Xenopus tropicalis: one gene and its partner. The protein of the gene in region 2 binds, or shares a complex with, the protein of the main gene of each other region. Links are inferred from orthologs where the notes say so. Each region holds a gene or a part of one and is shown on either strand. Other genes may lie near its edges.

The links. The genes of interacting proteins can lie anywhere in the genome.
Region 1: the proteins of dnajb1 (region 2) and nudc are in contact, whole or in part, in a crystal structure (PDB 7NDX), measured with the Homo sapiens proteins. The link is inferred for Xenopus tropicalis from reciprocal best matches to the Homo sapiens genes DNAJB1 and NUDC. Residues at the interface, in NP_006136.1 of Homo sapiens: His166, Lys181, Lys182, Met183, Lys184, Ile185, Ser186, Asp201, Lys202, Ile203, Ile235, Phe237; in NP_006591.1 of Homo sapiens: Pro102, Gln103, Ile104, Lys105, Glu106, Leu107, Ala112, Leu115, Gln116, Ile119.

What each region holds. Positions count from the first base shown.
Region 1 is NC_030678.2:77,792,934-77,796,433, reverse strand, and holds part of nudc (nuclear migration protein nudC), read right to left. Parts: intron 2,248-3,500; coding exon 2,053-2,247; intron 1,974-2,052; coding exon 1,890-1,973; intron 131-1,889; coding exon 12-130; intron 1-11. UniProt on the Homo sapiens protein: Plays a role in neurogenesis and neuronal migration. Necessary for correct formation of mitotic spindles and chromosome separation during mitosis. Necessary for cytokinesis and cell proliferation.
Region 2 is NC_030679.2:134,720,667-134,724,166, forward strand, and holds part of dnajb1 (dnaJ homolog subfamily B member 1), read right to left. Parts: coding exon 3,389-3,500; intron 768-3,388; coding exon 157-767; intron 1-156. UniProt on the Homo sapiens protein: Interacts with HSP70 and can stimulate its ATPase activity. Stimulates the association between HSC70 and HIP. Negatively regulates heat shock-induced HSF1 transcriptional activity during the attenuation and recovery phase period of the heat shock response.

The DNA of each region.
Region 1 (3,500 bases), on a different chromosome or scaffold from region 2:
TTCATACTCACTTTTTCAGTATATCTTGTTTTTTCTGCTCATCTGAAGTTGGAAGCCCCATAGATTTTTGCCTTTGGTCATACATCATCTTTTCCACCATACTGCGGGTCTCACCGTCTAGATCAGAAAGCTAGGCAAGCAAAAACAACAAGGGAGATAAAGCAGGTAAGCTATCATATATGGTAGAAATATACTACAAGTTGTTAGTAGACTTTGCCTTGTCTGGCCAAAAATCACTTTCTCCACCGTCAGCAGGCGGCAGTTAATTAGCCTGTGTATGGGGCACTAAGATGTGCCTGCCAGACCAATATCTGGCCAAAAATCAGATAGATATTGATTGGGCAGGTATAAAAATCATGTCGTTGATGTGGTCCTTGTCCTGATGGCCTGCATCCCATCAGTACAATCCTATCATTTGGCCTGAGGTCTGAACAGTTGGCTCAATCCAATATCATCCACGTCAAGGTGGGCATATATGAGAAAGATCTGTTTGTTTGGCTTACTATTATGGCCTGAACTACTAAATCTTACTGTGCAGCACTGGCCACAGATTGCAACGGGTTTTTTGCCTGGATTTATTCCCAGCAAGCGCTTCAGTTAACTGCTTGAAGATATAGGAAGACTTTGTAGGGCACTAAATCTCCCATCTGGGTCCAGTGTAAGACTTTACTATATTGGCTGCCTACTATATTGGCTACCTATTGAACTCTTGCTGGAGTCTACTTAAAACTGGTGACATTTGACTATCCTATGGTGTAAATACCAAAATGTGATTCACCTACAGGGAGGGCAATTTAATCTTTGATGAAGGTTCAACTTGCCTGAAATATGAACACTTGAATGTATATATGAATTTTAAATATTTACCCCTATATGTAAGTTTGCCCAGTAGCAGTAACGCATAGCAACCAGTAAGATGCTTGCTTTTAGTCAGGTGACCAATACACGCTACCTACTGATTGGCTGCTAGTAGTTGTTGCTCCTGGGCAAACTCATGAATCATGTTCAAAAAGCAGCCCAGACAAATGATGCATGACGTATGGACACAGAATGAAGTTCATACCATATGGGTACAGAAATAGTCAAGCTCTACACAAAAAAAACCCCTGCTGACATCGGAACTAACAGACACAGGCTGAGCATAACTTTAGTAAGAATTTATTTTGTATTAATCAGTCATTTGAAGGCTGTCTGCTCCCTTTGCCAGTGTTCTGTAAACTACTACTAGCATAAGAGATTTCAGAGTTAATGGAAACACAGTGGAGGCCTTTAGGTGAATGATTTCTATAGATACAACACTGTTCTTGCCTGCTATATGTTACATTCTACCTGCAGGGTATATACAGGAAAATCAAGTCAAGGCATCCTGAACTACAGGTCCTGGTATTTTTGAAATGGAGACTCCCAACTGAAGACCAAACAGTTAAGGTGAATAGTGAACATATAAAGTAAATATAAAAAGTCCCACAGGATCTTCCCGGGGAACTTGAACCTTCACTGGTAATCCCAAACCCTCCCCTTCTTTAACAGAAGTTGAACATTACCTCGAGTAGGATACCATTGACTACCTAAACCAATGTACCGTATATATCCTGAACAAAACACGCTTGTAGAACCAATGTCAATTACTTTTTTAACATATAAAAAGTCCAACATTTATAATGCATACTATTAAGCATGATATTGGTTTATAAAAAGAAATGACACCCTACAGATTTACTCAAGGACTGAATCGTCAATAAATACAATAATATGCCCTTTAAATTGTCCAGTGAATATGCAGAGTCCATATTTTTTAGTGTCAAGTCAATGCCTTCATGTTTTTTTTGCAATAGCCATTACATTATTTTGTGTTGTTTATAATTTATTTGAAATAATACACAACATACCTTGGAGTTCTCTGGATTTATTTTCTTAGTATTAATTTCAGGATCTGTTAAGACAACGCGGCTCCACCACTCCATTGTATTGATCTACAGGGTATACAGAAAGGATTAGTTGGAGAAGAAGTGTAAATAGAATGCAGGTCACACAGACACCAGACAGACTCACCTTTTCCAGGTGCACTGTTACCACTTTTCCATCCTCTATTAGCCATGAGCATTCCTCAACTTTAATGTCATTAAACAGTTCACCATCTAAAACTGGCTTTTGTCCCCGAAGCCCAATCGTCAGTCTGTGTCGTTTGATATCCACTTGCACATCCTTCCCTTTGAGCCGGAAAGAAACTGGGAATGGCACAACCAGCTAAGGAAGGAGAAATTAAATAATTGAGATTTGATTGGCAACCATATTCTTTTTAGATATTCTGGCACTTCTCAGATATTATAGATGATGCATTAAAGTTCCTGCCTCAGTGAAGGCTATAATTGAATGGTCCCTATCACAGTAACACAAACTTGGTTAGTTTTCTTTATCAGGTTAGTTTAATTTATCTACCATTTCTTGAAATTGCTTAACTTAAAAAGGTATTGTAAATGAATGGTCACTTTGTGACTTGCATTACCACTTTTCACTACTGCTGTCTTCAAACCTTTTTCATACAATGCAACAGAGCTGTCAACACATGAATAAGCACAACAGTGATGGCTATTTTTCCTCATTTTAAAAGGAGAAGGAAAGGCTAAGTCACTTGGTGCCAAAATGTTAGGCACCCCCAAGTGACTTACGCTTACCTTGTACCCCAGGCTGGTACCCCTGTTAGGAGAAAACAGCACCAGCCCAGGGTACCTGTAGCTGAGCGCTTCCTCCTTCTGGCTTCGTTTTGCAAGGACTAAACGACAGGCGCATGCGCAGTAGAGTGAAAAGCCGACTTCTCTGTTAAAGTTCGGCTTTTTCACTCTACTGCACATGCGCGCGCACTGAGGCAGGAAGGAGGAAGCGCTACAGGTACCACAGGCTGGTGCTGTTCTCTCCGAACAGGGGCACCAGCCTGGGGTACAAGGTTTCATATATGCCACATGTTCTGGACGTGGTACATTGTTTTGCTAGTCAGTATAATTTTGAGACTACATCCCCTAAACTTTTAGACAGGAGTCAATCCACAGTGCCTATGCAGAACCAGAAGTTGGGTTTTTGGTTGTTCTTCACTATAGTTGCTCTCAGTAACCCTACTGCATTAAGCTCTTCTTAGGTAGTCGAGCTTGCATTCAGTAACCTTACTGCCTAAAGCTCTACTTAAGAAGTCGTGCTAACATTTTCAGGCTGCTTTAGTTTTGAAAATACAGCAATTCAAAAAGGTACCATCACCAGGCTATCAGGTCCTGGGGACGAAATTATTGAAATTATATACTGTCAGTATTCCTTTAATCAGCAGTTTGCAAAAAGTTGCATAAAGTTGCATAAACAGCTATAGAATTTAGAAAACAAAATGCTTCCTCGTTAAAGGAGAAGGAAAGGTAAAAACGAAGTGAGCTTTATCAGAAAGGTCTATGTAAATACAGCTATACGTACTCACAGAAAAGCTGCACTGAGTTCTCTATCAAAAGAAACACATGATT
Region 2 (3,500 bases):
TTCAGGACCTTTCAGTGAGATATATCTTAGGTTCTCTTTCTCAATCTTATTAATTTTCAATGATTATGTATATGGCAGTATTAGGTCTGATTAGGTCTCACAAACAAAAACTTAATGCAAATCATAGGTGTAGTTAGCCCCCAGTCCCTAGCTTACCTCTCGCAGGCTGATTTTGGATGTATAAACCACATCGGATCCTTCTCTTTTGAACACTGGATGAGACTTGTCTTTTAGCACAAAGACAATATCAGCAGGAATGTTGCTGGGGGTCTCGTCACCCTCTTTAGGGAAGGTGATCTTGGTGCCTTCTTTCCAGCCTTTTTTCACCTGAATGGTGAGTATCTTGTCCTCATTACGCACACTTCTGCCATCGGGCCCCAGCCTCTTGTGCGAGATTTTCATTTTTTTGGTGCAACCATTAAACACTTCCTCAAGAGATACTGGGAGTTCACGTGTGATTGGAGGATCCTGCTTTCTGGGTACAGTGTCCCGTCGACCCGATGCAGACCGAGGAAAGCCTCCCATGCCACCCATGCCCCCCATTCCTCCCATTCCCCCCATGCCACCGAAGCCCCCCATGCCACCGAAGCCAGCAAAGGGATCGTCTGTATCCATGTCGTCATCATTGCGTCCAAAAAAGCCGTCAAATGGATTTCGACCACCGAAGAATTCGGCAAAGACAGCATGAGGGTCACCGTGGAAAGTGTAGCTATAGGTACCATTGGGGCCGCCGCTGCTTCCTCCACCACCAGGAGTTCCCTTCAGGCCTGATTTGAGAGAAAGATTATAATTTAGAGACAATAAAAATTACATATGTAGTTTATTATATAGTCCCTCCCCAATGTGCTCTGCATTTCCCCACATTTAACAGCCAAGGGAGCTATTGGCTATGCCGTCAGTTCTATGTGCTCTATATTGGGCATGGAATACAGGGTGGAGGGGTAGTAGCAGTATTACAAAGGTAACTGGCTATGGTTCAAGAAAATATCAGGAAGGAATTTGCAAGACTGAGGAACAAGCTTGGATTTGCAGAACATGAGGAAATCAGCAAGAATAAACATGCAAGCTTTCAGAAGAAGCAAATGATACATTTTTTTCTAAGCAGGGATTAGAGTCCTTTAATCAACTACACTGCAATGGTTTTGAGAGTATCCTATTTACTCTGAGCAGATGGGCCTGCTAACCAAAGAGCATTATTATAATCCAGCATAATGACTTTTATTATAGCCCCCCCCCCCCAATATGCTACAATGGGAGCTACTGAATCACAATTCCCTATTTATCTGGTGGCTGTAAATATATTATTTGCTGTTGCCCCAGGAGCTATATCCCTACTCCACCACATGCTGCAATAGTACAGCACCCAGATGTAGGCATATTGGGAAAAGTCTGCACTGCTTAGATCTGTACAAGAAGGGGTTAAAACATGAATGCTGACAGTACCCACTCCCAGTGGAAAGCATGGAACAATGGATTCTGCATGTGAAAAGTTTCCCTGTGCTGTCACATCTGTGTGTTGGATGAGCAAAGGGCACAAGGGTTCTTTTGTAGCGATCTGCACACACAAGCACAAACACCATTTTCTGAAACAAAAATATTTTTTCCTCCCCCCCCACCCCAATTTAACTTCTTAAATAGGCTGAACTAGTGCTCTGGCTATTCCTGTTATGCGAGTGTTACTTTGCATGTAACACTGTGATGCTACGTAGCTGGTCAGAGTGATAAATCAGAACAAATCTGACCAAACGGACCTGACATCTCCCTGTGAAACTGCCAAACGGACAACAAGCAAAGAGCCAAAGGCCCCACACCTTTCATAAGGTGAAGTCAGCTTGTGGAGGGCATTAACCATCAAAAGTCCTTCAACTATCTTGCAGAATGGCCAATACACAACTTTTGAATTGGTCTTCATTTTTTATTTTGTATAGTTATTGAATTATTTGCCTTCTTGGAAATAGATCAGTGTCTCTTACTCAACCCACTCCCTGGTTGCTAAGGTAATTTGAACCCTAGCAACCAGATAACTGCTAAGATTCCAAGCTGCAGAGTTCCTGAACAAAAAGTGAAATAATAACACTACAGCCACCCCTCATAATAAACAAGGGATGCGTTGAATTCAGCACCTGGCTGAATCCCAGCCTGTTCTGCAGGATATGGATTCGGTTTGGATGAACGCTTAAAATCATGTGACTTCTGGACAGCTGAATGTGACAATTTTTGGTTCACAGTTGATGCCCTTTTTTAACGGAATTCAAGTCTGAATGTGCAAATTAGTGTTTTGATTCAGTTCGGCATTCGGACTAATGTGAAGGACCCCATATTTGGCCCTGTTAGGCGCACACAGACATACTTACACTCCAACAAATATACTCTGGAGCCCCACGACTTCTACAAGATCCATAACTTATTTAGAGCAGCTGTTACTTATACAAAGAACACATGCTACTTGTACAGGTATGGGACCTGTTATCCAGAATGCTCGGGACCTGGGGATTTTTGGATAAGGGATCTTTCTGTAATTTAAGATCTTCATACCTTAAGTCTGCTAAAAATCATTTAAATATTGAATAAACCCAATAGGCTTGTTTTGCCTCCAATAAGGATTAATTATATCTTAGTTGGGATCAAGTACAGGTACTGTTTTATTATTACAGAGAAAAGGGAATCATTTAACCATTAAATAAACCCAATAGGGCTGTTCTGCCCCCAATAAGGGGTAATTATATCTTAGTTGGGATCAAGTACAGGTACTGTTTTATTATTACAGAGAAAAGGGAATCATTTAACCATTAAATAAACCCAATAGGGCTGTTCTGCCCCAATAAGGGGTAATTATATCTTAGTTGGGATCAAGTACAGGTACTGTTTTATTATTACAGAGAAAAGGGAATCATTTAACCATTAAATAAACCCAATAGGGCTGTTCTGCCCCCAATAAGGGGTAATTCTATCTTAGTTGGGATCAAGTACAGGTACTGTTTTATTATTACAGAGAAAAGGGAATCATTTAACCATTAAATAAACCCAATAGGGCTGTTCTGCCCCAATAAGGGGTAATTATATCTTAGTTGGGATCAAGTACAGGTACTGTTTTATTATTACAGAGAAAAGGGAATCATTTAACCATTAAATAAACCCAATAGGGCTGTTCTGCCCCCAATAAGGGGTAATTATATCTTAGTTGGGATCAAGTACAGGTACTGTTTTATTATTACAGGGAAGAAGGAAATTATTTTATAAAATAAAAATGATTTGCTCATAATGGAGTCTATGGGACATGGCCTTTCCGTAATTTGGAACTTTCTGGATAACGGGTTTCTGGATATTGGATCCCATACCTGTATCAGTCAATTGCCTTTTTACAACCAGCCATATTACACATACTCACCCTCTTCTCCATATTTATCAAACACTTCCCTCTTCTTAGGGTCACTGAGCACATCGTAGGCCTCCGCAATCTCTTTGAATCGATCCTCAGCTCCCGGGTCCTTGTTCTTATC